Alligator mississippiensis: one gene and its partners. The protein of the gene in region 2 purifies or fractionates together with the protein of the main gene of each other region. This does not show direct contact. Links are inferred from orthologs where the notes say so. Each region holds a gene or a part of one and is shown on either strand. Other genes may lie near its edges.

Evidence for each region.
Region 1: the proteins of SINHCAF (region 2) and SAP130 purify together in Homo sapiens (affinity purification with mass spectrometry; 3 studies listed by BioGRID and IntAct, counting the BioPlex papers as one, with this or other methods). This does not show direct contact. The link is inferred for Alligator mississippiensis from reciprocal best matches to the Homo sapiens genes SINHCAF and SAP130.
Region 3: the proteins of SINHCAF (region 2) and SIN3B purify together in Homo sapiens (affinity purification with mass spectrometry; 3 studies listed by BioGRID and IntAct, counting the BioPlex papers as one, with this or other methods). This does not show direct contact. The link is inferred for Alligator mississippiensis from reciprocal best matches to the Homo sapiens genes SINHCAF and SIN3B.
Region 4: the proteins of SINHCAF (region 2) and SUDS3 purify together in Homo sapiens (affinity purification with mass spectrometry; 3 studies listed by BioGRID and IntAct, counting the BioPlex papers as one, with this or other methods). This does not show direct contact. The link is inferred for Alligator mississippiensis from reciprocal best matches to the Homo sapiens genes SINHCAF and SUDS3.

Annotation. Positions count from the first base shown.
Region 1 is NC_081830.1:39,528,737-39,535,759, forward strand, and holds the start of SAP130 (histone deacetylase complex subunit SAP130), read right to left. Parts: upstream 3,002-7,023; 5' UTR 2,891-3,001; intron 2,288-2,890; 5' UTR 2,283-2,287; coding exon 2,171-2,282; intron 742-2,170; coding exon 506-741; intron 1-505. Other genes in the region: UGGT1 (UDP-glucose:glycoprotein glucosyltransferase 1), read left to right, coding at 5,452-5,620. UniProt on the Homo sapiens protein: Acts as a transcriptional repressor. May function in the assembly and/or enzymatic activity of the mSin3A corepressor complex or in mediating interactions between the complex and other regulatory complexes.
Region 2 is NC_081827.1:114,555,138-114,562,567, reverse strand, and holds the start of SINHCAF (SIN3-HDAC complex-associated factor), read right to left. Parts: upstream 3,017-7,430; 5' UTR 2,878-3,016; intron 1,875-2,877; exon of another isoform or gene 1,793-1,874; intron 305-1,792; 5' UTR 190-304; intron 1-189. UniProt on the Homo sapiens protein: Subunit of the Sin3 deacetylase complex (Sin3/HDAC), this subunit is important for the repression of genes encoding components of the TGF-beta signaling pathway.
Region 3 is NC_081839.1:449,115-456,479, reverse strand, and holds the start of SIN3B (paired amphipathic helix protein Sin3b), read right to left. Parts: upstream 3,020-7,365; 5' UTR 3,005-3,019; coding exon 2,903-3,004; intron 2,807-2,902; coding exon 2,700-2,806; intron 1,733-2,699; coding exon 1,579-1,732; intron 735-1,578; exon of another isoform or gene 660-734; coding exon of another isoform or gene 639-659; intron 1-638. Other genes in the region: NWD1 (NACHT domain- and WD repeat-containing protein 1), read right to left, coding at 4,394-4,683, 6,355-6,463, 7,208-7,365.
Region 4 is NC_081833.1:22,486,011-22,493,691, reverse strand, and holds the start of SUDS3 (sin3 histone deacetylase corepressor complex component SDS3), read left to right. Parts: upstream 1-4,680; 5' UTR 4,681-4,769; coding exon 4,770-4,935; intron 4,936-6,823; coding exon 6,824-6,893; intron 6,894-7,681.

The DNA of each region.
Region 1 (7,023 bases), on a different chromosome or scaffold from region 2:
AAAAGAAGACTGCCTGTGACCTCTCAAGTCAAAGCCTTTCCTCACAAAGATCTCCTTTGTAGGGAGGGTTCGGTCAAGAAGAAAGAACCACCTGGTCTGCTCCATATATATCTTCATTTTACTGTCTTGATTTCAAAATGTTATAGTGCATCATTTTTACTCCCCCTCCTTGCCCCATCCAGGAACAAAAGGGGATTCATAAACTGATTTAGATCATCCTTAACTTAGGAAACAAAATACATGGAAAAGCAACAAATTAATGCTCAGAGATTTTCACCAGTCTTCTACCTGGAGCAGACCCCAGCACCCCACAAGGAGGCATACAGTCAGGAAGAAAGCACAGAAGAATCACACAGACAATACCATTCAGAAGAACTTTCTAGTGGACAAAAAACAAAAAAATACAACTGAAGTTAACTTTGTGCTGATGAGATTGCTAAGAAAGAATTTACTCTCCTGTTATTCCTTCAACTTCCCCCCTCTTAAGTGTGAGCCTCCTCAATACCTTCATAAGTCCTTCCGAAAAGGAAAGGGACACTGCTGGAGTCAGGTGTGCCGGAGGAGCTGTCACTGTAACTGGAGCACCAGGCTGCACGGTATGGTGTGGAGTCAACATTTGAACCTGTGGGTACGGCCGAACCACCACTGGTTCCTGCTTCTCTTCACGAGACTGGAGAGAGCCACCAGAGCCAACATGGTCTCTAGGAGCAACTTCTGGTTCTCGATTAGATTCATCACTTGCTAATAAAAAAAAAAGAAACTCTGAGCAAAGGGGCTACGAAATAAGTGATTCTTACCCACAAGCCTAGAAACAAAGTGCTAAAAGCAAAGCAGGGTTGTTTCAAAACTCCTGGACAGGAGAAATTCATTAATCCTTGAATGAATGCAACCCCAACAATTAAAGTCTTCAGAACGTGAGCAACCCTCCGTCTGGGGGGGAGGGCTCTTACAGTCCTCCAAAACACCCTCAAGGCACAATCAGTCTACTTAGATAAACAGCTGATTGTAACCTTCCTTAAAAGTGACCAAATGCATTTTGAACACCGAAGAAACCGTTACAGACCATTGGGCAAGTGCCTAAGGCCCCATGCCACTGATTCAACATTTGACTTTTCGTTAATTTTTTTTTTAACACAAAATTATTAAACAAGTTATCTAAGTTTGGACCGAAGCCGAAGCAATCACAGGTATCAAAGCAAAAGGTTACAACGTTTAACACAATGCTGTGATCTTGAGGGTGATAACACTGACTAAGACTGGGAATCCTCTCTCATTTTCAGCTCATGGTGACAAAAAACAAAAAGCTGAAATGTTATAAATTTTATTCTGTTTATGAGTCAATCAAAACCTACATCCCATAGCTTATACTCACCATAAGTCTCAGTCTCCTACTATTATTAGATTTTTACATGCTCTAAACACACTTATTTCCATTTTACTGCATGGGATCTGACTGACTTCTGATGAAGGCACCAACAGTGTAGCAAAATCAGTTAGGAAGGTCCTGAAATCCCTACTTCCCAGTGAGCTCCGGGGGGGCAGGGAAGGGGAAGTAAATGTTTGTCAGCACAGAGCTCAGAACAGTATCAAGACCCAGAAATGAGTGTAATGGAAAGACTAGAACATTAATGCTTCGAAAAATGGATTAAAAACCATCTGACATATAGTTTGGCTTAGTAAGTAAGAGGTGCTGATATTTAAAAAAACCCTACTTTCTAATAGAACAATCTGTCAATGACTTGATGCCCCCAAAGTGCTTTTCAAGGTGCCAGTGTCCTCTGGGTACCTGGTGGGTTCTCTGGACATAGACACAGTTGATACTAATTAGCGTCAGCCTTGCTCTGGAGTCACTTCAGAGATTTTTCCCTTCCCTGGCGTCCCTCCGCTTCCAGGCTGATTTCTGAAGAGGGCCTTGCAGGCCCCCGCGGCTGCTCCCTCTTCCCCCTGGCCGAGCCTGCTGCACTTAGGGGCACGGACTAGCTGCTTCGGCTTCTTCCAGCAAGCTCCGCCCGTGACCTCGGCTGCACTCTGCACAGGCAGCTCCGGGCGCCGGGACGATCCCCGGGGGCAGGTTCACGAAGGCGGTTGCTTGTGGCTGTGTGAGAGCGGGCGATGCTGTCCCGGCCAGCCCGAGCGGTCCCCCCCGCCCCTGAGCGCTGCCCCGTCTCACCTGAGCCTGCGGGGGCGATGAGGCCGGCGGCGCCACTGGCCGGGATGGGCGGCGGGGGCTGCGCCAGCGCGGCGGGCGAGGCCCCGGCGCGGGGGAACTGCTGCGAGTTCATGGCCCCTGCGAGACACGGCGCGGTTAGAGCAGCCCCGCCCCCGTCCCGGAGCCGCCGCACCAAACGCCAACCCCCCTCCCCCAGCCCGGGCGCAAGCGCCAGCGCTCATTGGCCGAGGAGCTGAGGGCACTCCGAGCCCTGCGCCAATCCGGGGTCGCGGTGGCGCCCGAGCCAATCCGCGGCAGGCGTACGGGAGCGCGCCCCAGCCAATGAACACCCCTGCTTGGCTAGGACCTCATGAGAAGGGCAGCCAATGATGAAAGGGGAAACTGCCGGCCAATCAGCGGCGGCGTTCCGCGCTCGGCTCCCTCCCAGCGGCGCTGCTGTGAGGGACGCGCAGAGCCCGGATGTTCCCCAGAAATAAAGCGCCGCGGCCGCGAGCGGGCGGAGCGCTGGGAGGCGCCAAGGCAGCGCGGGTGGCAGAGCCTATTTGCGCCCGCCCGGCCTCGGTGCACGGGCCATCGCCGACCCACCCACTTCGCCACCCCCAGGCGCCGCCGCCGCCGCCCAGCCCGAGCCCTGGAGCCGCGACCCCCTCCTGCCACCGCCACGGCCCTGCGCCCGCGGCCCTGCGCCCGCCGCCTGGAGCTCCCCTCGCGCCCCGTTACCTGCCAGGCAAGGCGCGGCGGGATCTGTGCGAGCCGCCCTCCGGGCCGTTTCTCCACTTGACACCGATGCTCAGAACCGAGCTGCGCTTCCGCCGCTGCAGCCACCCTCCGCCTGATTGGCTCCGGTGGGCCCCGCCCACAGGGGCACTACGGCACCAGCCCCCTCTCCTCGGGCGGTGATTGGCTGGGGCGACGGCCTCGCGGGGGCTGCTGGGAGGCGTAGTTCTTGTCAGGGGGTCTCGCGGAGGAGGTCTCGCGAGTGAGGGGCAGGAGTAGGGGCCTGGGCTCGTGCTGCGGTTGGCTGAGACGCATGGCGGGAGGAGCCATAGGGCGGTGCCAAGGAGGGGGCGGGGCGTGCGCTGTGCCGCGCTGCTCCCTGCGGGGCTGGCGCCGCCATCTGCAGTGGCTCCGCCTGTTTTCCCTCCCCCGGGTTGCTCGGCGGACGTCGCCGCGCTGTCGGAGGCCTGTGACTTCCCGGCTCGGCCTGGGGAAGCGGCTCCCGGGTCCGCCCCGATGTAGCGCGGTCGCAGCCGGGACCGCTTGGGCCCCAAATCTCTTGTCCGCGAGGCTTTTCGGGTCGAGACGTGCCTGTCCTCGCTGCCAGAGGGTCGTCCCGGGACCACTCCCACTCCCCCCGCAGTTGTCTCGTTTCTCTGCAGTACAGGAGGGAGACCCGGGCCGAGCCCGGGCGCGCGGAAGGGTTGACAGGAATCCAGGAGATCTCTTCCCGGGCTGGGATGAGCTCCTAGGTATTGCAGCACCTCTGGTGGGGCTCGGGGTGATCACGAGAAGTCCGTTTCATCAGTGATGACGGTCACCCGGGCTTTCAGCACAGGTGATTTACTAGTCGGGAGTTATCTAGCGCTTGCCAGGTTGGGAGCCACTCTGATGTGAATTAGCTATTGAATCCAGGCAGGAGCCAGTAGGTGGTGAAGGCAACAGGTTATGCGTTTACCTTTGGTTGGTTGGTTATTTTATTGTCTGTGCCCACTGGCATGGCACTACAACACTTGCAGATCATTTAAGGTAAGTGATGAGTTGTAGTTTCTGCTAAACTCTTCATTTTATTGCTAGGTAGCCCCTCCACACGCCGCAACCCCAAGCAGTTTGTGCTCGTGTTGCATCCTGCTTGGCACTTGGGCATTCCACTCTTTCTAGAAAGTGGGCAACTGTGACTGTGTGCAAGGCACCTTGAAGACCAGAATCTTTCACCGTGATGCAAAGAATAAAAATAGAGAGATGACTCTCTTGGCTGTGTTTACTTGTATGTAATGGCCAAGCTGGCCTAGAGTAAGGGGAGAAATATTGCAAATCATTCCTGGTTACAAACTCAGCTACTCATCTACTGTCCTTGCCATTGGCATTTGGCAGGCTGATGCATTGTAACAATTCTTGCTCTCCTATTTTCTTTGCAGGCTGAGTACCAAGGCTAGGCAGTAGGCTCTAGAGCCACTTGACTCCTTTTTTTTTTTTTTTTTTTTTTTCAGATTGAATTTGCAATGCAGGGTATTTTAAAGTAAATGCTGTCAGTCTGGACTGAGCCCAAACAGTAGAAGATGAGCATACAAAGGAAATCTAAGCCTCCTACCAGACTTATCTTACCCTAACATACTTAAGTGGGATTTCTTCAAAGCCCACAAATGGCATGTTTCTGAGAGGAAGTCCTAAATACTATTGATGATTGCAATTTAAAAAAAATTTTTTTTTTTTTTTTTTGAGCAGTGTTTGGTAGAAGGAAGCTATTTATGATGGTTTTCACTCTACTCCCTGCCCCACCCTGGCTCAGAAATGTAGGATGTTGTGTTTGCTATGTCAGAGAGAGCATTTATCAAGTAGTCTCCAACTCTGCAGTGTTAGGTGTCAGGGTTGGGGCATAAAGGCAGAATGTCCTTCTACAACTATTCCTTACCGCTTGCAGGAATATCTAGTTGTGTTCCTGCTGTGTACACTACAGACTGTGCCTAAGGCTTCATGGCCCTGCTGTGTGCTAGCCTTCCTAGCAGATGGGTATCTACAGCCAGCCCCTACCTCTGCCTCCAGTGAAGTGATGCAGACCTTTGTGTACTGTAAAATGACTCTTTTCCCTTGTGCCACCCACAAATGATTAGTCTCCTCTACTATGCATGATACTTACAGACTTGTGGCTTATAATATTACATATTATTGGACTATTATAGTCAAGATGTCAAACAAATTTTGAGGCACAAAATGCTCTGTAGCTCTAGGAAAGGAGGAGGTACAACTGAAGCCAAAATCCATCTGCCTCGTTCCACCCCGTTTCCCCCAGCTGTGTAACAACACTTCCACTTCGGGGTCACGTCTAGGCTCTGGCAGTAGGAACTATCGTATGCTATCGCCTGCGATAACATGTCGGCAGCCCAGAACAGCTGTGGGGTCGCTCATCGAAACATCCCTGTCCTCAGGCAGGGCCGAGGGGCCACTGACGTCAGCTACACTCCCCTCCCCAGCGCAGGGCTTCGCCGGACGCCTCCAGGCTCCAGCCCGACTTGGCTCCTCCCCAAGATGGCGGCCGGGTGGCGCTCTAGCCTCCCCGTGTCTCTATGGCCTGCGGAGGCTGGGGAAGAGGGGTGCTCTCTGGCCGCCTGGCAGTGGGGCGGAAGCGGAAGCTCTCGGCCCGGAAGTCGGGGAGCGACGGGAGGAGCCGGAAGGGAGCGTGGCGGACGCTTACAGGTGCGGGCAGCGCGGCGGCTCCGAGTGCACGCGCGGCAGGTGCGACGCGTGGGGATGGGCCGGGGGCCGCTGGCGGGCGCGGGGCCGCAGGGAGACTCGTTTGCTCCGGGGGGGACGGGCCGCGTGGGCTGTGACAGCTCCAGCCCCGGCCCTGTGCCTGCGGGCTCTGCGAAGGGGCTCCGCCGCCCCTTGCAAGTCAGCGGGACTTGTGTTACATTCGTGCCGTCGGGCCATCGCCTTAATAATCCGTCACGGGGAAACAGGCTTCGGAGGGACGAGGCAGTCACCCGAGCCGCGGCGCCGAGACCTCTTGCTGGCCCTGACCAGGCTGGCAACATATCGACCCAGGAAGGAGGCTCTGTCCAGGAGGCCCCGGGGACTGCAAGGCCACTCTCCTGTCCCTTGTCCGCTCTCATTTGCTAGCAGAGTTTCACCGAGCACTGTCTGACGCTTGCTGCTCACTGTCCTCACTTTGAACCTTTCACTTTCACTCCCATCCCTGTTTTCTCTTGTTTGTCCCACAAAAGCAGTTGACACGTATCCAGAGGCACATATTCTCTATGAACTTGCACTGTGGGCCTAAGGCCCACGTTCCCCATATGTGTCAAATAGGTCTGCTCCAGGGAGAGCCATCTGTGTCCCAGCTGCTCCCTCCAAACGTTTGTCCAGCCTATGCTTTGCGGAGATCCTGCAGCCGCTGTAGCTGACCTGCTCTGATGCTGAGCCACCTTCCAGCTGTGACACTGTGCTGCATTGGTATTTTTAAAGATAATTTCCTATGGAAATAAACATGTGGGCCTTGGACTAGGAATGGGAACAAAGGGGTTCAAAGCACTGCTGTGTCAGGCGTGTTGCTGTATGACTCCAGGCACATCCCTTTATCCTCATGCTTCAGATTCAGGTTCTGTAAAATGGAGATGGGATCCCCACCTTCTAGCAGTGCTTGAAGACAGATGTAAAGTACTAGGCCACTGGTATCATTTCTTATGTAATGGTTTCCTTCCCCTTTATGTCCAGGAACTTGGGCCCAAGTGCAGTTTAATGCCTTATTGTATTTCTGTGTGGTCTCCCCACTGCCTTAAGAACAAGTGCAGTGTTTGAGGTAAATATGTGGAGATCCTTTTTTCAGGACTTAATGTGAGTTCCTTATGAAAGATGTAATACAGAGTGGAAGCCTCTAATTGTTTTCTAGACTTATAGCTGAAGGCAGAGTAGTAATTGTTACTCCAACCTTGCTTTTTCCAGCAGCCGTGTGAAGGTATAAATTCTAGAGAAAGTCATTGTCAACAGTTCAATGATACCAGTGTGAAAAATGGCAGTTTCTCCTGTTTTTTTTGTGGTACCTCTTGCAGGCTGCAGTAGCAGATCATAACAGCAACAACTGCCTGTGGTGTATCAGATGGCAGGTGGATGTGGCTCATATAGGCTGCAGACGAAGGGTG
Region 2 (7,430 bases):
TCAGGCCCGATTCTACCAGATGCAAATCATTCAGAAACTAAGTATGTGCCCACTGTATGCTGGACCTCAATCCATTTGGTAGGATGACTGTCAAAACCTGGAAGTCAGTCATTCACAACAGATCTAGCCATGTACCGATTTAGAGAGAGCCACAGTGGGCTTCTGTAGATGGGCCATTTATAGTCTCACCTGTAGGAGGGAGTGCTCAGGAGCCGAGCTGTTCACAGAAGCGTTACCACCCTCGTGCTGTGCCTGGTCTATGGAAAAACAGAAGTCTCCAAAAGCTCCCAACCCGCCACAAGCACTAAGAGAAAAAGCAAACAGAATAGGTTCAAGTACATTATTGATTCCATATATGAATGCTAACCTGTTTCAACAACATCTGGCCCTACACCCTCTTGGAAATTTGATCCCACAACAGTAAGTATCCTCATCCTTTCTATTTATCATACGTGTACCTAGATGCTATTAGAAATAAGCCACATCTGCAATCAGAGCATGCCACTTATAGTGCCAATCTAAAATACACATACCTCCCTCATGAAAATACAAACAAGTACATAATAAAAGCTTCCAGTCTTTTAGATTTCTGCTGGTTTTAAAATGCTAAAAACAATTAGATCAAGTCAGAGGCCATGTAATTAGTCAACTTTGCTAAACAAGCAAGACCAGGAAATTCTTTTTGCAATTATCATCAAATAATCTTGACCCAAGGACTGGCAATTCTTAGAGGAAAAGCTGATGGGGGAATATCTATGGGGCAACCTTAGGATATTTCACCCTACAGGTGTGGCAGTCAGGGGGAGCTTTTGATACAAGGAAAACAGGATCTTGCCACCGCTTTGTCCAGGTATTTCCTGGTCTAGGGGCTGAAAGAGGCGGCCTAGCAAACAAGTAAACAAGACAACCCACAGTAGCTTCCCCTTATATCTTTTTAGTAACATATCTGCAGATGAGCATAGGAAAGGAAATAGAAATTAAGTCCAAATGAAATGGAAACTTAAACAACTACAAGTGTTTCTCCTTACTCAAAATAAGGTTGTTTTCTTAAAATAAATAAATAAAAATGTACACACATTTCTCCCCCCCACCCCATGGATAGTAAGCTGCTTCAAGAAAAATCTGGCTCTTTTGGAATTTATATATAACAAACCAGTTTATGGCAAAAACAAGAACTCTTAAGCTCTGTTTCAGCCTGCAATTCCCAGTTGAAACAAAGCTCAAAGGACAAGTATTTGTAATAGCATAATAATGCCAAGTGAGGTAGGAAAAAAAAAAAAAAAGTTCTAAAACTACACGCTCTCTAAATCTCTCGCAGTAAAGAGAAGAAGCCCCTAAACTGCTCATACTTTGCCATTTTTCTACCAAGGTGCTTTGTGTAGCTACTGGATACTGCTAAATGCCCCCCTGAAAAAGGACTTAAACCCTCCAAAAAGCCTCCAAAACCCCTCCAAACAACAAGTGGGTCAGGCCCCAAATCCCAGCCCCCTTAAGTCAAACCCGAGAAGTCCCGGGAATTCAACAGGGCCAGGGCTGGGATTCCCGGGCAGACTTCCAGCGTGCAGCATGCCCAGGGACTGGCAACAAAAAAGGAACACCCAAGGGGCCAAGCTCCGTTCTCAAGCTGCGCCCATGACACCAAGGAACAAGAAGTTAGGGCAAAAAGAAAAAAAGTTAGGGTAGGAGCAATGGTGTGGGAGGGAAATATACAGAAGGGCATCCCCCGCCAGAGCCCAGGAAGCCTGGAACAAAGACCACCCACCCCCCAGCCACCCCCGCGAGGACGACCTACTTTTCACAGAGGCCATGATGATCAGGTAGACAACAAGGCTCAGGGTCACCCGCAGCCACTCTGGGCACCTCGAGCCTCTCCGCAGTGCACAAAACCAGCTGGGATGAGGCAAGGTGCAGCCAGAAACAACCCCTACCTCCCCCCAACCACCCTCCCACAGCCCCTGCCACGAGGTCGCAGGGAAGTGAAGCGCCTGTAGCCACTTGGGGAGGGAGACGCGGAGCCCTCTGTGCTCGGCTCCCCCCCCCCCCTCCGGGCACCAGTTGAAGTTAGCAGGCCCCCACAGCAGGGTGCCACCAGCAGCCCAAGCCGTGCCCCCCGCCCCGGCCGGCTGGGGGAGGCAGGCACATCGCCCACAGCCAGCAGCGCCCGCGGCGCACGCGACCAGCCCTTTGTTTTCCCTGCAGCCTGCTCCTGCCTACGTGAGGGGCCAGCGGGAAAGGGCGGCTCGCGCCGCGGCTGCGGGTGCCACGCGGAGAGGAGTTTGCTGGCAAGTCGCGCTGGGGCTCGGGAAGTGGCCAGGCGCCATCACCGCCCGGGCCCGCAGGGACGAGACTCGGCCGGGCCGCGAGCACGTGTCGTGTCAGAGCGCGCGCACAGCCCAGCCGGGCCACTTGCACACGCACCCGCGCCACTTGCACCCCCCCCCGGGCAGCAGGCCGGGCCACATGCATACCCACCCACCCCACCTGCACGCTCACACATATACACGCCCCCCCGGCCAGGCCGGGCCACTTGCACGCTCCCCCCCTCCCCAGTTAAAGGGCAACATGGGGAGGGACCCCCCCCACAACAGGGCAGCCTACCCCGCGCCACGTTGTGGGCGCCCCCGCCCGAGCTACAGGTGCAGGCGGCGGGCGTGGGCCGGCCCCACGCGGGAAGGCGACCCGGGCTCCGCGCCTTCCTCCCGCCCGCGGACACGTCTCCGCGCGGACGGCACCAACAGGTCGCCGGGGCTCCTCCGCTCGCGAACAAAGCGGGGGCAGCTGCCCCGGGGCAGCAGTTGGGTCGAGCAGAAGCTGGAGCGGCCCGCGGAAAATGAAGTAATCTCCAGCACAGGAGCCCGAAGACCGCGAAGCACTCACCTCACCTCGCCGCCGCCGCCGCCTGCAACTTGGCTGCGCCGCCCCGTGCGCTCCTGCTCCTACGCCCGTAACGCTTAGCTCGCTCGCTAGTTCGTGCGTGTCCCCGCCTGCGGGACGCTGCGCGCATGCGTCGTTCCCACGGCTCAGTTCTCTTCAATCGAGCTGCTTTGCATACGGCCCCCATTGTCCTTTTAAGGGAGAAAGGCCCGCGCGGGAAGCCTGGGAGGAGGGACGGGGCCGCTTGTGACGTCACCCACCCCGCCCCTCTCCTCCAGCTGGGGATCGGAGCCGGTGGAACAACGGACGCCGCGGTCCCTGCCCGGCTCGCTGCTCCCGGCGGGGGAGGAGCGGGCTAGGCGCAGCACGGCGAAGGACTCGGCACGGGTGAGGCGCCTCCGTGGGCAGGGATCCAGGTGCCCCTTGCGCCCTAGGCTCGGCGTGCCCGGTTCCTCAAGGTGCGGGAGCGCGGCACAACTCCGCCTTCCCCGGCGTCAGGGGCCGACCGGTTACGCTTTGACTCTTTCACAGATTCACGGAAGTTTAGGGCTGGAAGGGATTTCGTGAGATCATCGGGTCCAGCCACCTCTGCTCTGGGCAGGAAAGGCTGCGGGGGCAGATGACCCCAATCAGGTGCTGGGGGGCCTGCAAAAAAAATTGGGCTGCCCATCAGGCTGCCCTAATCGAATCGGAGACCCCCCCCAAGGTTAGGACTTACAATCTTGGGGGGGTGCTCAGCCCTCACCTGTAACTTGAACCCTGCCCAGCATCTGTGCAGTACCTGCACTAGCTGTTTACAGGGCACAAAGGCATGACAAAGTTCGGGAAATGCAGTGTTGCAAAGAGGAGGAGGCAGCATGTTTGGTATATGAAAACATTGCAAACAAACTTTAAAAGTAACTCATGAAACTTTAAAAAATGGATTCTCCTTTAAAGGAAAGAAAGTGGGAAGCCCTGGCTTTTTCCTTTGAAGGCTGGCAGAGTTCCTGCCTGCCAGGGGTTGTTTGCCCCCCCCCCATGCTTTACACACTGGGGGCTGGGGTTTGGGGGCAGCAGGTCAGGAGTGAGGGGCACTGGGTCAGGACTGGCTATCAGTATTCACAAATGGCTCCTGATACAAAAAAGGTTTAGATCATGTAAATGCCATCTTTCTGCCAGGCAAGGGTTGCATTTAGGGGTTTAATCCCAACTATAGTAACTATACTGGGGGTTAGTAAAACATGCAGATCAGTAACACAGCAGTAGTTTTACACCCTGCTGCCCCCACCCAAAGGATTCTCTACTCAGTTTATGCTGATGTCCCTGGCAGTACTCCATACCATGCTGCCCTCTGCCAACCATGCCTTCACCAGCTTTGCCCCACCATCCCAGCACAGACTCCCACAGAAGGACTACTGTCTGCTTATCTGCAACCCAACAGCCTCCCAAGCAAGTGACGGGACACAGCAGCAGCATATTGGCTGGCGGGGAACAGGGGCTACAGAGGCTGGGAGAAAGGCTTGAGAGACTGCTTCCTGCAGGCTGCTGTGCTCTCACTTGGACACCAGGCAGCGCAGCTCTGCTCTCTATGCTCATCAAGGCTTGCCTCCTGCTTCTTTCTGACCAGGACTTTTCAATCCAGGTCCCAGTTGCTTCATTTTCTTATGAATGAACTTCTACAGACTTTAGTAACAGATAGGGCCAGATTACCACACAGGCAAACGAGGCACATGCCTAGGGCCCTAAAGGAAGAAGAGGGCCAGTTGTGCTTATTTTATATATTATAATTATTCAGTGAAAAAAAGTAATATAAATATATGGTATTAAGTTAGAGCTCCATGAGTTTGTTTGCCTAGAGCCCAATAAAGGGTTAATCCCGCCCTGCAAACAAGTGTTTTTTTCACACTTGTTTTTTATGGACTATGTATATTTGTGTACAGTGGTAAACATGCTCTTGAGAGCCTTCTTTTTATACCCAAGTCTCAGAACAGAAATTGAAGATTAGGTTTGACCTAGCTGCAGCCCTATCCTGTGACTTTTTACATTCATTTATTGTAAATGACTGTTCATTTATGATCTTTATGCAACTCCTATACCTCAAAACAAATTGTTACTCCATTTCAATATTGTGCAATAAATTTCTCTCTCATGCTTTGCCTTTGAACAAGAGCAACTAAGTTTTTGAAGCTTACTATTATTTTTTTTTTTTTTTAAATAAAATGCACACAAGATTTCTCCTTTAAGCTTCAAGCTAGTTTCTGCCCTGGTCTTGCACCCCATATCGATGAGAGAAACTCATGAATTAATCAGAGGGTCAGGGTGACACTCTGTGGGTCAAGGAGGAAGAAGGGCATAGTCTCACTGGGGTTTTAAAAAATATTGCTCACAGAACTTTTCTAGTGCGTCATAGTGAGACATTTAAAAACTCACCTTTTAGCTGCTTCTTAGTCACACTGTTTGCACAATTTAGAAGCAGCAGTAGCTCCATGTTACATCAACTGGCTCATCAATGTTGAAATTAGTTTCTTCTTACATAGCTATTCATTATGTCTAAAACATCTACATGCAGTACAGAGTGACACATAGGCACCTATTACTTCTTTAAGAACAATGCCAAAAATCATGAGAGTTGGCAGCACTGTATTTTGCACCATATTTGCACACAATTAGAAATAGTCATAAGCTTTTCCTCCAGTCTAATACTGAATATTTCATTTATGTATTTCTCTTTAAATGATAAAAAAAAACCCTTCTATACATTGACCTAAAAGTTAGGATTTTTTTAACACACAAACAAACACCGATGTAGTAGGACTGGAGTAATTTGGAGATGAAGATTTTAGTTCTCTGAAGACATTTTAGTTTGGATTTAAACTTCTGCCAGACTCTCAATCTAGTCAGAGCAGAATTGTATGCTGTTTTCAGTGCATAATAAACTGAACATAAGGAGCATCTTTCATTACCTGAGACAAGAGGAGAAACTGGAGAAATGTATAAAGTAATTTCGATTTTTTAAATTATTTTGGTTAAATCATTTAAAGTATTAATAAATGAGGCTGTTTTAAAAAAAATATTGAAAAGATCAGTGTCAGGTTAACATCTAATTAACATTTAGCCTTCAGTTTCACAAATTGTTTAAGCATATGCCGTAAAGCTAAGTAAATACTTATTGCTTATGTACTTTGCTGACCCGGGTCTTATTACTCTTACTCCCATTAAAGGCAATGGTTAAACTTCATTTGACTTAAATGAGAGCAGGGCTGGATCTCCAAAAGGACACTAATAAAGATCCAAAGTGCTTCCTTCCTTGTGTTTGCATTCTTTACATTAGCAGGAGGGGCAGTCTTCTCTATGTCAGTTTGCAAACTCCTGGTAAATGTATACCATGCTCTAAATAAAAACAAACAATCCCCTAGCAAACCAACTTGTGGCCATGGGAAGGGAACAGCTTCAGTAGGGAGATTTCAGGAGGGTAATCTATCAGCAACTGAGATCTCTGTTAAGAGACCTAAATATTATGGCAGTGTCCTAACATATTTAATTCCAAACCTAGCCCAACCCAATCATTTACAATACAAAAGGGATGCTCAGCTTTGACCTGTGTCAGATTTGGCCCTAAAAAGTTAAAATTGCCATCAAGGGCAGGAGAAGCAACTAGCTCTTCCAATATGAAGGGCAACGCACTTAAAGCTGGGTGGCCAGTCACCAATAGGGATAGATAGAAAAAACCTTGCCTCCAATAGAAACAATATTTAAGATATTTGCTTTTATAGTATTTACATAAAATTTGTGAAGGCTACTGCTGCTTTTGACTGTGCTGCCCACAAACATCTTTGAAAGAGTGAGCTGCTTCTGGAGTTTTTCCTTTTTTCAGCACTGAAAGTCGTCAGCATGACTGAGAGATACAGGTTGGTCTGCAGGAAGAAGTAAGCAGAACTTCTGGGGAGGAGATATTTTTTATTAGACCAACTAGACAGTTAGAAAAAAATATATTCTTTGTTTGCAAGCTTTCGGGCATACATGCCCTTCCTCAGGTATAGGAGAGTGCAAAGATTGTAAAATTTCTTCCAGGTAGAAACTGAAAATTCATATTTCAAAGAAGAGCTGAAAGGTGGTGTAAGATGTCCTGGTTGGAAAAGTTCATTTTATGCAAAATAGGCTCAGGTAAAAGTTGGAGTGGTCTGTTTACCACCAAGTTACCTGATGGCAAGCAGGATGTTGAATTATGCTTCTTTCTTGTTGTGATGTTTCATATTTTGTGGGAAGATGGGTGATGGAAGCCTCTCCTGGGCAAGGAATTTCTTTTGTGTTGTGGCTGCTCTGTGAGCATGCAAGTTTTGCTAGACACAAAAGGCTGGAGCAAGGGTGTCAGCTTTCAGGTCTTAAGGTGTTGAATTTTGCTTCCTTTTTGTAAAATTATAAAGTTTTTTTGCAACTATCTGGTTGGTCTGTGCTATACAACCTGTATTCCTTTCATTACGTAGTAAGCACCTGTTGCTTTTATTACCTCCAACACAATCAGGGTACTTGTGCTCCTCATGCTAGCACAAAGGGATCAGCTTCCTTTTAGCAAAGAG
Region 3 (7,365 bases), on a different chromosome or scaffold from region 2:
CCCTCAAGCTTAGTGGAATCCGAATGCATTGAATCTGACCATGCTCTCTGCCCTACATCTCTTGAATATGGCAATGCTTGAAAACGGCTTATGCAATTAGTAACTGAGTGTGAAAAGCAACTCCTCTCAAGCCAGTGCTGCCACGGCCTTTCTTAAGTGCCTCCAGGTACACGAGCAACACAGTTCTTTTGTCCCAGGCCAACCACGACTGTATGAACTGGTTCTGGAGCAAGTGTCCATCAGTAGCTAATGCAAGGAGGAAGGTTGAGGGATTCTAGCAGAAGAGTCTTTGTGATACTGGACCTTTTGAGAACTGGGGGAATGAAAGCGAGGAATCTCACTAACTCCCAGGGAAGAATACACTAAATATGAGAGCTCTCTCTGAATCAGGGGTTCACAGCAGGGGGCCTGTAGGCCTTGTAGATCATCTCTGAAAGTATTTTACCCAGCAGCGAGTTTCAAGTGTCAACAAGACCTTGTATTACCACAACACATGGTGACTTCATTTCAGTATCCAGTTATGAAGCCAGGTCTCCTGTTAGTCACTCAACATCAAGGCATTTGATGCACAATAATGCCATACTTCATCACCAGATTCATATTCTCTGCTCTGTGTCCTTTTATCAAAGGGTGGATACCTTCTCAGGTCCAGTTTTCATCAACAATTCTTCCACCAGAGCAGCCTCATTTTCAAGGGATTTTCAAATGCTGTACCTGGACCCACTGGCCATGATCTTGACAAAGGAATACAGAGTAATCAAAATCCAATGACCAAAGGTCCGTGAGAAACCTGATTCACTAATGCTTGTGATTGGCACTACATTACCCTATCCTCTTCACTTTAGAGATGGTTTGAATTCACCCTGCAGTATAGTTAGAGTAAAACTACTTTGTTCCAGAAGAATGACAGATTATCAAGATGCATGCTCAGTAGTCAAAATGCTAAATTTCTAAGTAATACAAAACAATCAATGCACGTAAGAGATCTGAAAGAGTAGTAGATGGTGGAAATTAAGGTTTATACAAGAAGCTTCTGAACAGAATTTTAGCTGAGACTTTTCAGTTACAAACTCAACAACCGCACAGTGATGAAGGAAGCAGAGAATGGCATGCATCTATTTGTGTTTTAATACCACATCCTTCAGTGCAGTATATGAGCATCTGAATAAAACGCGGCTATTTGTATCACGCCAGTAAACGTCTTGTGCCATAATGGGAAGGAGGAAATAAGATCTTTTGAAATATTCCTTTAAAACGTAAAGTGTGATTACAAAGACTGAATGGAGCATGTATACATGTGCACCCAGCCACCATCTCAAATCTGACTCAAATGTCTGGGCTGCAGCATGTGTGGGAGCTTTATTCCAATCAAACTAAGAAGCATTTCTGGAAAAGAAAAACTTTTTTGTAACCTCAAAACTGTTTTTTATAACCCCATACCCTCAAAATTTGAAAACCTTTAACTAACTGCAATAAAGGCAAACCAGCTCATTTACTATGCAGACCCTGCGTGCTACTTTATCTATATGCGCACATACATTTGTGTTCACGTAAAGTAATCCAAGCATGTTAACATACCTGACTAGCCAGCGGCGACTGTATACTCAACTTCCCGTTCTTTGGAATCTCTATTCTGTAGCCCAAAGGGAGGAAAGCGTTGAATCCTACAATGAGGTCGGGATGTTCGTGAAACAGCTGGGAAACGCGCCTGATTACGCCAGGGGTGTCAATGCTAGAACCAAGACGAAACCGTTAACTGCATGCAGGGTCTTTGTCACAAAATGCAACCACAAAGGAATTCATACGCAGGTACAGATGCATCAGATTGCAAAAATAACTTTGTTTAACAGCACAGGGATTTGAAAGACTTAAGCACTGAGACAGTGCTCACTCCCTGCAGGTATCTGTGAAGCGCCTACATTTCTCATGGCTCCCTCTACAAGATGTCAAACGCAGCAGGGGGAAGTACTGCTCGCTGAGCTCCGGGTACGTAGCGAAGATACCTCCTCCCCGCAGGCTTACGCAGCGACCGCGCAACGTCAGCATTTTGGTACGCTAGAGCCAGGTGTGCAGGCGTCAGCAAGAGCCCTGCCTTTCCCCTGAAACAGGCATCTGTGCAGGTCTGCGGGTCCCAGGGCCGAACGGTACCAGGCCGCGACCGCACGCCCCGCTGGAAGGTCCGTCCCCCGGAGGGAGCAGCGGGAGCGAAGGCCCCTCGACCTGCTCCTCCCGCGGCCCCTGCCAGAGCGCAGCGAGGCGGGACGGGGCAGGACAGGCGAGGCCAGGGGCGAATCAAGCTGGTCGCAGTCAGCGCCAGCTGTCGGGCAGCCGCGGGGCAGAGGGAGCCGCAGCCCGACCCCGCTGCGGGGAGGACCAGGGGAGACGGCTCGGGAGCAGAACAAGCTCCCGGGAGCGGGTCAGGACCCCGGACGCCAGCGCCCAGCCCAGCCCAGCCCAGCGGCGGCGGTGCAGGGAAAGGGGCTGCCCTCAGACCGGACAACACGCCCGCCTCGGAGCCAGCCCTGCCTGGAGCTGCCCGGGCCACGCGCCGCCGCGCTAGGACGGCACGGGGCCAAGCGGGTCCCAGCCCAGCAGCGCAGCGCAGCGCAGCGCGGGTGCCGGGACGCGCCGCCTCCGGGCTCGGGCTCGGGCTCGGGCCTGCGCCGGCTCGGGGCCGGGGCCGGGGCCGGGGCCGGTACCTCTGGCTCTTGAACTCCTTCATGATCTCGAGGAAGCCGTTGTAGGTGGCCGGGTCGCTGCCGAAGCGGATCTTCACCTGGTCCAGGTAGGAGAGCGCGTCCTCCACCTGCGGGGAGACGGGCGGGGCGGGGTGAGGCGGGGCGGGGCGGGTGGGCCGGCGCGGGGCGGGGCGGGCCGGGGCGGGCCGGGCGCGGGCACTCACGTGAACCGGCAGCTTCTCCTGGGCCCCGGCGCGGCCGCCGCCCCAGCGCGGGGCGCTGCCCCCCCGGCCGCCGCCGCCGCCGCCGCCGCCCCCCGCCGCCATGTTGGGAACTCGGGCACCGGGCGGCGGCCCCGTCAGCGCGTCCTCGGCGCCTGCGTCACCGCGCACGCCCCGCCCCGGCCCCGCCCACTTCCGGCCGCGCTGCCGGCTTCCGGCGCCGCTATCGCGCGGGGCGGCACTAGCGCGCGTCAGGGGGCGGCGGCGGCGGCTCTTCCAGCTCCAGGCCGGGCCGTTTCCGCCCGAGGCGCCGCGAAATCTGAGGTAAGGGGTGCAGGGCCGCGCTCTGCCCGGTGGGGCGGGACCGGCTCGGCTCGGGCAGCCCCCGCGTCGCCCAGGCCGCCGGCGAACACCTGACACGTTTTATTCACAACAAAGCAGAAGCCGCATCCGTGCCTCCGGCGTGGCCGGGCCGGACCGCGGGGCGAGCCCGGCTGGCCGTGGTGCGCCGGGCGCGGGAGGGCTCGCGGGGCCCACGGGGCTGCCCGCAGCAGGCACGGGCTTCCCGGCGAAGTGCGGAGCGCCTCTTGCGTGGGCGGCCGGCCGCGGTGCCGAGCTCCCGCACGCGCCTGTCGAGCGGCCGGTCGGTCGTAGCCGCGCGGCAGATATCGCCGCCGCCGCCGCCCGGGCACAGCGCAAGCAGCCCGCTGGAGTCGAGACTCTCGTATGAAGTTTATTAGTAAAGCTATCCTGAAAGTTGTGTGGGGGAGGGGGCACCGCCTCCGAACTACATCGCCATAAAACTTGTTCCTTTACTTTTAGGAGGAACTAATAATATCCCAACAAACAACCGATTAGTGCAAAGACCTTCCCTGCGGCAGCCCGCCGGACACACGACCCTTGTAATCACAGTCTCAGAAATCTGCGGCTGCTCTCTCTCTGTGCGCAGGCAGCGAGGGCTCGTGGGCCGGTAGCTTGCTCCTGCCGCGATGGGCGTGCGAACTGCGGGCTCTGCAGCCCTTGTACACACAGACCAGGCGTGCGCAGCTCCTAGCGCAGGCCGGGCGGGGGGTGGTGGCAGCTCACAACAGCAGGGGTTCGTGTGTACTCATGGCGCGTGTTAACGGTTCAGCAGTCGGACGGTTGACTCTGCTTCTGGTAAATGAGGCACTCGCATTAACAGCACGTTGACCCGTTAAAACCTAACGCAGCGCAGGCAGCGTCACGAGCGCAGCGCCCACGTTCCCTGTGCGTTACTTGACTGTTGCAGTGCAGCGGCACTAAGAAATCCTGAATGCTAACTGATCAAATACACTGGGAAATACTATAGTTAACTAGGTTTTCTTTGTTGCGTAGCGTAGATTTGAGCAGAGAAGAGATCTAGTAACTCCCGAATTTGACCCCAGCTCTCGGCTTCTGACTTAAGAGGCTCGGCCTGAACGCTTGATCTTGGGTCCCGAGGCTGCGTGGTCCTGATCTGCTGCTTCGCTCCTCTTACACAATTGCACAGATCTGTGAAGGCTTGCGGTTTTGACTCTGGTGTCTGGAGGTATTTCCTTGATTGTGATGCTGCACTCCTGAATTTGCCTCTTCTCCCTTCCTGGATTTGACTGTGCATGTTGCCTCCACGTGCTGGAGCGGGTCGTGCTGGTGGCTGCTGGACTGTGGGCAGTGGAACTTCTCACGAATTATATAGCCAAGATTTGTTGTTGCAACAAACCCATCAGCAGTTGGCACGATTCTTCTTGCAGTTGCATGCACACACTGCACAGCCAGCAGAGCACCTGCAGGAGATGAAAAGGAAATGATTTGCAGCATAAGACGTTACACTTGAAGGACAGGAGGCCCTGCCGTTTTCCATAAATGGCCCCGTAATTACTGGTGTTAATGTGAAGGAAGGGTGGGAAGTTTGTCATCAGCTCCTTTAGACTGTAACAAGGATCGGGGTGGATAATAGAAGCCTATAAAGGATTTTGCCATAAAACTTGCAGAGATTAACTTGTCTTAGAGGGTCATGGGCACGCTGCCCTGAAAGCACTTGCTACTGCACGGTAACCTGCAGTGAAGAAAGTGCATTACTTACGGTTCCAGTAGTGTTCTGGATACCTGTTTGACAGATCAGAAGGCAAGCCCCCTGTCACGTCAGCTTAACAAAAGGAAGTCTACTAATCCAAACTGCAGAATACACAGCTGGAGTTAAACATCTTTGTTTAAACTAGCTGCCCATCCTTTGTGAGAGGATGACAAGTACAAGCCTTATAACAAGCTAAAGCATAAAGTTCACAATTGTTATGTAACCCTGAAATAAGAGTGAGCACACAACAGTATCTAACAGAGGAAAGGCAAGGAAAATGGAAGCGTACATTTTTTTCCCTTATGCCACATATGATGTTCTTGCTCTTATGTGGGCCTAAGCTTTTAGGATGAGTCTAAATACAGAATTTTAAGGTACCTTACACATCGACCCTGACAAGCCCTCAAGCAGCTTCCCTGCTGTAGAAAGTACTACATCTATGGCAAAAACTAGACACTGATGTCACTGGCTAGTTCAGGGGTGGGCAAAATGTGGCCTGCCAGGCCATTCTATCCCACCTGTGGGGCCCCTAAAAAATGTAGAAAATGAATATTTATCTGCCCCAGACTGCCTGACATGGGGCCCTTGATGGCTTGCCAAAACTCAGTAAGTGTCCCCCTGACAGAAATAACTGCCTGCCCCTGGGCTAGTCAGTGTAATGAGGCCTTTTTGACACTGGGGATGGTACTTCTCTTTGCAGTGTCACAGAAGGTCAGGGTGTACTGGCAGGCACTTGTGGGATGTTCTCATGGATTCAAGGGAGGCAGAGGTAGGGGTCAGTGCCCATCTATATGTAGCTGCAACTTACAGAGACTTTCTCTCTCTCTCAAAAATCTATTTTTTGGCCAGGAGAGAGATCCCAAATTCCTTGTGCTAACATGTAACCAAGTTAGTTTCTCATTTAAACTGAGTGTAAATTTTGTTTTCCTTTGTACTGCAGAAAGGAGCTTACATACCTGTTTAATATATACAATAAAGCAGAAGTTGTCAAATTGTGAGGCGTACCCCCCTGGGGGGCATGGAGGTGGGGGTGCAGCACAGTGGGGCATGGGAAAGAAGCTTGCAAGGAGCCACTGCAGCTGCATGGGGGGGTGTGGGGGTGGGCAGGCTCTGCCAGGGGGTTGCTGCACCTCTGGGAGCCCAGTGCAGTGGGCGTGCAGCCTAGAGCCACAGCAGGGCCAAAGCAGGAGGTGCTAGAGCTGAGCCGAGCAGAGCCACAGCAGCTGCTAGGATGAGGGATGCCTTGTGCCTGGCTGCGCTGCTCCTCTGGGGCGAGGGGGCCGGTCAGTACAAACAGAATTGGGGGCTTAGCTCAAAAGGTTGGAAAATGATGTAGTAAGGTGTACCCTCTTGTCTTAGCTGGCGATACAGATTTACTTACCATTTGAAACATCCCAAACTGCAATGGATTGATCCAGTAATCCAGTATACAGGTATTTATCATCTTTTGAGAAGCAAGCACATTCAATACCTTTCAAGAAGGATGAATGCTAAAAATGGATAATGGGTTTGAATTAGACCCTAATGTACTGGTAAATGCACATGAAGATTAAGACGACCTAGATGGTTTGACTGTTAGGTAGTTGAGAACGGGCATACATTTTAACTTAACCAATGTTTCCAGAGTGGTTCTAAGCGAGACTGAAAGTGCAACAAGCTTGGCATTTTGCTTTTAAGCTTCTAAAGCGCTTCAAAAAAAGTGTCCTGTAAAAGCTCAGAAGGCTACCAAAAGGAGTGAGTGCAAACTGTGCAGCCTATCGGGTAAAGGCTGAGGCCTGTCAGGCACAGGTGAAAAGCTGAAAAATAGCTCAAGCTCTTCCATCACTTCCCCTTTTATGGGACTCCACAGGGCTGAGCCTGTTAGTCCTTTATGCTGCTTTTACTTGACCTCAGCTAAACAATGTGCATAACCAAGAACAGGATGCAAGCAAACAATTAAGTGAATGTGGTGGATAAGTTCTGACCAAGCATCTCTGAAGATGTGAGTTTTGGGGCTAGAAAAAATTTAACAGCACTAGGTCATCGGTGGGCTCTCTAGAAAGCATACTCTTTAACGAGGTAGCTAAACCTGGATACAAGTGTGCAGTTCAGGCCTAAGATGCCAAAAGGAGGCACCTAGCTGCTACAGTGTTTGGAAAGCCCGCTATTTGAAAATTGGACTAGTTATGTCTGTACTGGCTCATTGGAATAAATGACTAATAATGTTGTGTTCCCAAGCTCTGCTGGTGCAGTACCTTGTAGTAGCAGATCTCGTGTTTCCATTGGCAGAGCTCCAAGTCCCATAGACACAGCAGAGAATCCTCAGAGCCACTCAGTGCCCACTGTTCTCCGTGACTATTTTCTAAACAAGTGATTTTGCTTCGGTGGGCTTCCAAAGGAAATACTTGGGAAC
Region 4 (7,681 bases), on a different chromosome or scaffold from region 2:
GTTTCAGGGACCTTGAAGAGCTGATAATCACAGACCTCCTCTATTTTCTGAAAATGAAATAAACACAGAACTTTTTTTTTAAACCAGATACAGACATTTAACTAGATTTCATAACAAGCCCCCAGTACAATGCATTAGCTCTTGTGTGTATGTATCGGAGCGCTTTTTGTGCTAAAAATAGGTTGAGTCCTGCCAATTCAGGGCTTGCTCAGCATCATAAAGCTGCAATGCCCAAACAACGTATCTGCTGCTAACCAGGACCTAAGTGCACCACGAAAGTGGAGAAACATCTGAAAAGACTGTGCGAAACAGTCATTTTCTGAACTGAAGGTCTTTCTTTGTGTACTTAAAAGCTGTCTAGTATTTCTGCAGCATTTCAGTGGAAGCCTTCCTGCATCCCTGGTTTATGCTCGTCCATTTCTCCTCCTCTTCAGTTGAGCGTGAACTATGTCGCTGAATCCTGTCCCACCCAAGCAGCGTGGGCCTGCCTGTGACAGGCGCGCCACAAGATAAGCCCTGCACCATCTGCGGACACTGTCAACCCCTTTCTCTGCCAGATGTGCTGCTCTGCTCCCCGCCCCGCGTCCTGCCTGCTCCCCCGCTTTCTGCTCCCCGCCCGCGCCCTGGCTGCCGCTCCGCTTTCTGCTGCCCGCCCCGCCACCCCAGGTGCTGCTCGACTTTCCGCTCCCTGCTGCCCTGCTCGCGGCTCCCCACCCTGTGCTCCCAACCGCGGCTGCCGCCCGCGCCACTCGTGTCGTGCCGGCCCGGCCCGGCCCGGCCCCGCCGCACCCCGCTGCCCCGACACGCTGCAGCCCGCGGGACCCGCCTGTTGCTCGCCGGGTCGGGTCGGGTCGGGTCGGGTCGGGTCAGTCCCAGCTGCCCGCGCCGCGCTCTCACCTGGCCCGGGCCCGAGAGGCCGCAGCGGGCGGGCGGGTCGGGCCGGTCCGGTCCGGTCCGCGCTCACCGCCCCCCGCTTCCTGCCTCGGACCCGCCGCTGCCCGACGTGCGCCTGCGGCTGCTGCCAGGCGCGGCCGATCGTTCGGCTGCATCGGCGCTCGACTCCCGCGTCTGGGAGCTCGGGCGAGCCGAGCTAATCGGGGCTCGGCCCTCGACTCGCCAGCCTGCTCCCCCCCGCGACCGGGGGGGGGCGGTCTGCGTTTGCCTGCGCGGGGAGGGTGGAGCCGACTGGGCCGCCGTCACTGCCCGCATCAGCGGGGCCGATGTTGGGGGAAGGGGATCTTTGCATCGGTGGTTGATTTAGAAGTCTGTGCTCTCTGGGCCATGGCGATCGATTAGCTCCTCCACACAGCTCGGTCCCAGAGAGCGCTCGGGACGATCGGTGCTCGATTGGAAGCCCTGAAAGGCGCGGGCGGCCGGGGGGTTAACCCCTTGTGGGAAAAGGCGGGAGTTTGAATGGGGGGCAACGATCCATGGGGGCCTGGATCGGAGCAGGCGCCTCTCGCCCGGCCTTGGGTTCAACGTGCTGGGGAAAGGGTGGGGGGACTTACGGGTTTCTTGCCCATTCAACCCAAAAAGTGAATTTGAGGCTTGTCCAGTCTAGATGAAAGAAGCATTTACTCTTTAAACGAGTCACTCTTGCACATGCATAGCTAGGTCTATTTTCAACTGGATTAACCTGTGCGTTTCAGTATGGATAAGACTTAACCAGGAGAAGCAACAAAACCGGACAAGGGGAAAGGGATTGCTAACAATATAAAGGGGAGAATTTGCTTACAGAGTGGTGTTTTAAGGAAGAAAAGGCTCAAAGGGACAGGAAGAGCTTTCCAAGTAGACGATACAACAAGAAATTAGCTATTGGAATAGCAAGGGCAATAAGAGGATGGGGGATTCTTACAATACAAGGAGTCTTCCGCAATCCTCACCAGCGGGGCGAGGGCTGCAGTGCTCATTGTTCTTTTCTTGTCTTCCCCCCCTGCAAAAAATGTCCTCGGTCGCTCACAGCTCAAAACCACCTCTGGTGTTAGCCCCTGACCATAATTTTTCACAGTATGCTATGTTACAAATGTTCTGGTCACAACCATCTCATTCCCATGAACAGACTTCACTTTCCAAACTAACCTAAAGTTTTATTGACAGGTTTTTTTTTTCAATATCAACATATTGATTCTTTTACATGCTGTGAGCCCAAGTTTGGTATCACAGCTACTCCATGAATGGTAATAGCTGATACAGGCAAAGCAGCTTTCCTCAAAGGAATGGATATGCAGATACAACAAAAGGACCTTTGGTGGAGACTTTGACTCTATGAATAAGGGGCACAAATTCTCTCTGAATGCTGAGATGTGAACAGTCAAGTAGTCACTATTGAGGGGGAAACGGCACATTCCTTAAAGATAAGCCTCCTCTTGGGTTTCAACTGAATGCCTGAAAGATGACAGCATGAGGTTTCCGCATAAGTTTAGCACTGAACATGGGGAGTGAAGTGTGCTGAGATGAGAGCAATGCAGCACATGGGATTCTAGTGTTGACCACAGAATAATTTAAACATTTCTGAATCAACAATTATACCTAGTCTCTCACTGATTATCACCATCCCCTTTCAGTTCCTATCACATGTGATGTCATATCAGTAAATATACCTGGCCTTTGAAAGTAACATAAAAACAGCATAATTTGGAAAAGTTATTCTGCTTCAAGAGGGGCTTAAGGCAAACATGCCACTGGAGACAGTCCTGGATTCAGCCTCACCTGTGACTAGTTCACCTCTCAACTTTAGTGACCTCTCTTGAAAACTGTTGGATTTCAGCTTCAATCCCATCATCTGTAAAAGGTGAGTAATGTTTACATATGTAAAAAAAGATGTAATAAATACTTAACAAGGATGTTGCAAGGCTAAAAACGTTAATCTCCATAACAGATCTTTGGCCAAAATGCAAAATAGAAGAGCTAAGCACTTAAACATTTTCACCCTTTTAATAACAATGAGTACACTAGCACCTCTCACAGCTTGTCAAGGCCTAGTTTTATTAGTTTCACACTGCATTGCTTTGGTGATCATTCTTTGATAGCACTTTTTAAATATTATTTCCTTTTTCCTGATGACAGGGTTACAGTACATAGGACATATGCCTCAGTGAGTCAACATCTCATGATTCTGGGGAACATACCCTGCAAATGTTAAGGTAAATGCTTAGTCACAACTCCGCTAGTTATAAACCAATATCAACCAGTTGATCAGTACACCTTAGATGGCTTGTCTTCCCATAAAAGAGCTAACACAGGGTGTGTCTACGTGAGGTGTTTCATGTTCAGAAGACTGAAGCTACTGTGCATTAGCACGGCAAGCAAAGCCTATGTTAATGCACAGTAGATTTAGTCTAATGCACAGTAGCATCAGAAAAACGTTCATCTGCACTAATGCACAGTAGCAACAATTATGATGCATTTAGTACGTGTCATAACAGGTACTAAACTTAATGTAATTACAGTGCATTAATAAACGTGTAGATGTGCCCACAGACACTTCACCATAAATCCAGATTTTAGCATTCTTGTGCTCAGGTTGAAGGCCTTGAATAGCCTCTCCAAGCCTGTAATTAGCAACGTGCAAGACAAAGAGTTTATCTGTATGGCTCCAGGGACACAGCCTGGTGAGAGCATTTGAACATTACAAGATTGAAAAGGATCTCATCTCTGAAAGGCGCTTATTGCTTTGGAGGGAATAAACCCACTCCTGGCACAGAAGCTGTTATCCATGGGTGTGAAGCAGTTACCTCAGTTGGGGGATGTGATACCACAGCTATCAGCGACAGCTTGTTGGGGACACGGGAAAAGGAAAAAGCGAGTCCTTCGAAAGGAATAAGAAGAGCAGAGGTGCCGTTGCGCTTCAGTCCTCAACACTTCAACATCCTGCCCCCGGGCACCTGATGACGAACAGATCATCGTGAGGGCTGGCTGGGACGTGACATGGCTGTCGCGCACCTGCACACATGTGAATCCTGGTCCCCTGGGGCCCCGGGTCAGGTCAGGGTAACGCGGCGCTGCAGAGCCCAGCACCCTCCTGGAATGGAGACCCCGGGCGGAAAACACCCGGCGCTGGGCTGGGCCGGGCCGGGCCAGGCGGGATGCCCTGGAAGCCCGCGACAAGGCGCGCTGGGGATGAGCCGGAGCCGGGCAGCTCTGCAGGAGCCGCCGGGCCTGCAGGAGGCAAAGAGGGGACCGCGAGCAGCTCCTAAGCACCCTCTGCCGGCAACCAGCGGGGCGCTCCGCACGAAGGGGACGGGACCGGCCCGGGGCGAGCCGCGCGGGTGCAGCCGGCACCTGCCTGGCTTCTAGGGACCTTATGAGGTCAGTGGCTCCGCGGCCCGAGGGCACTGCCCGCCCGGGCGAACGCAGCAGCGGGCAGCCACCGCGAACCCGGACCCCGACGGGGGGCGGGGCCTGCCTCCGCTATCAGGCAAGTCCACGTCCCACCCGGGTGGGGGTTCAGCACAGCCCACTTCGTTCTAGGAGAGGGCCGCGAGAGCAGCCCTAGACTCCACTTGGAACAACCCAAGTAGCTACAGCACTGCGCAGGCGCTACCACTAGCACCAGGCTCCGGCCCCCGGGGGGTCCTGATGACTCCGTGCTGGCCCCCACGCGGCCCGGCTGGTTTGAGGTGTCCCGCGCATTCGCCTGCGCGAGTTTCCGGGTCAGGCAGAGCGGAGGCAGCCCGCGCGTCCCGGAAGTGGCTCGCGGAGGGCCTCGCCCGGCTGAGGCGGCGGGAGGAGGGAGCGGGTGAAGCGGCTTGCGGCCGCCTCCCGTCGCGATGAGCGCGGCCGGGCTGGTGTCTGCCGCGCCGCCGGCCCCCGTGCCGCCCGGGACGCTCCCCGCTGCCCTGCCGCCCGGCCCCGAGTACTACGAGGAGGAGGAGCTGGAGAGCGCCGACGAGGAGGACGGCGAGCGCAGCGCCCGCGCCCGGGACTCCGACGAGGGTGGGCGGGGCCCGCGCCCGGGAGCCTGGGGGGGGCTGGGGGAGACTCGCACCTTCCTCGCTAGGCGGGGGCGGGTGTGTGTAGTGTAATGGATGTACGTGTAATGCCCATACACGTGTGTGTGTCACGTACACACGCGTGTGTTCCTACAGCCTTGCATGCGCATGTCTAAAAGCACAAGCTTTTGTGAGCTGACACACTTCATCCCCACTTGGGACCTGGTGGGGCAGGAGGAGCCGGGAGGGTCACTGCTTTGGGTCTTAACCTCAAGATCAGGGTTTCTCAGCCCACAGGTTTTGACCCAAAAGCAGGGCGCAAGAATATAGGGGAGGGTTGAGAACAAACTCTACAAATGGATTTTTCTTTAAAGGAAAAAAATGTGGGGAACCGCAGCATTTCCTTTGCCGTCCCCCCATGTCTCACACACACACTGCTGCCCTTCACTCTGGGGGCAAGGGCAGCAGGTTGGGGGTGAGGGGCACTGGGTCGGGACTGGCCATCGATGTTTACAAATGGGTCCTGGTACAAAAAAGGTTGAAAACTGCTGCTCTAGACTCAAACTCTCCTGCCCCCTATCAGACTTGAGGAACCCTGCTTTTTGGCTCCAGTAAAATAACCCAGTAGTTCCCCCATTGCAAAGAACTGGGACAGCAGCCAGGCCAAATGGGTTTGATGCTGTGGATTTCTGTTTCACATCTCTGGGTTTATTTTATGAATGGTGGGCAGGGGTTTGCGCACCTGGGTGGTAATGTTGCACATAACTCATGGCAGCCGTGAAAGGACTTCACAGCATCCCTGCAACAGCCAGGTTGAGAATCATTATGTTATTTCCACAAGAGGGTGGGGGGGAAATTGGTGTAAAACAGTCACAGGAGAAACAGGAGGGATGAGGGGGGTGGAGTTTGGGCTGGTTTTCAGTGGAGAGAGGGGTGGTAGTAACGGAGGAAAGTCCATAGGTAGTGAGAAGAGTGTAAGGCAGGGACGGGCAATTATTTTGGGCAGAGGGCCACTTACTGAGTTTTGGCAAGCCATTGAGGGCCTCATGATAGGTAGCCAGGGCCAGATAAATATTCATTTTCTAAATTTTTTTAGGGGCCCTGCGGGCTGGATAGAATGGCCTGGCTGGCCACATCTGCCCCATGGACCGCAGTTTTCCCACCCCTGGGGTAAGGGGAGGAACAGAGGAGTGAAGTGAGGGAACATAGTAAAGTAGTACAGTGACAGGTTACAATGTCAGAGAGATTGTGTGAGATGGCACTAAGCATTAGTACTCGCCTCTGTTACATGTAGATTCTGAAGGACTTCTGTGAGGTGTATGCTTGTAAATACTAAGCTGAATAAATCCCAGTAGCATTACTTAGCACCCTTCCTGGAAGTCTTGTCTCTGTTGTAAAACGTAACAGAATTTAGTTCTATTCTTTTTTTGTTCTGGGTTTCAGGGAAAGTGTGGAGGGGTTTTGAGACTTGTAAAGGAGCTGGGGTTTGCTCTAGCAAAGAGAATATGGCAGGGATAAAAATGTAAGAAAGTCTACAACACATCCCTTATGCTATGCCTAGCTTTCATGGATGGCATGAGGATTTTCTAATTTACTATAATTAGCTAGATTTATTCAAGAAACAAAGGGACAAGATGTTTTGTGTCAGCTGATTTAATTTTCTATACTATTAAGCTTTATTATAAATGCTTGTTTTAGCAAACAGGACAGCTATGTGTGGAAAACACGGATAGCAGCTTGTGATGGTCTGAAGATGATTGTGTCAGAATTCACCGTTTAGGCTGCCCTAGCTTAATTAGAAATAAATGCAACTAGACAAAAATGACCTGTTTCTTTAAAATGATTTGATGCTGTGTTTTTAGTGATATCAAATTATTCTACATTTGATTCAGATACTGAGGATGCTAGTGAAACTGACCTGGCAAAACACGATGAAGAGGATTATGTAGAAATGAAAGAACAGTAAGTATTCCTCCCCCACCAAAACAAAGTTTAATGGCATCTTTCTTTAAGTTTTTTAACTTGCTAAAAAAGCCAGGGGCAGGTTATTTCTGTCTGGATAGTTCCTAACATAACAGGGCTGTTTAGTTATATTGGACTTATTAAAGGTTCCCTCTGTCTACAAGCACAAACTACTTAGCTGTTGCATCAGTGTTCAAACAACTTAAGTGTTTGCTACTGTCCTCCTGGATAGATGTGACTTCACTGGAGTCATTCATCTCTGCTCTGGACATGAATGGGCCCCCTGTGTGCTTGGCGGCGGACCCAGAAGTGGACTAGAAGCACTTCTGGTCCACTTCCAGGTCTACCGCCAAGCACACAGCGTGCGCCCCCCCCCCCCCCCCCCGCCCCCCCCCCCCCCCCCGGCTCCTGTGGGACGCTCCATCCGCCTCACCATCTCAGCCTTCATGAGCCTCCTGGTACCTTGAAGTATGTAGAAAAAAGATTTAAAGCTGTGTCTATGTCCGAATCTCTCCAAATCAATTTGGAGTGATTAAAGGATCTCCTGATTCAATTCAGAAACTTACTCTTCTCATATAAAACCTTCACTACCCCTTTAGTTCTATGATAAACCCAAATGGTTGCTCCTGGTACAAATCAATAGTCTGGCTTATGTTTTCTGTATATTTTTTACTCCAGTGTGTGTTGATCTACAGCAGGGGCGGGCAGTTATTTCAGGCAGAGGGTCACTTATTGAGTTTTGGCAAGGCATTGAGGGCTGCATGACAGGCAGCCGGGGCAGATAAATA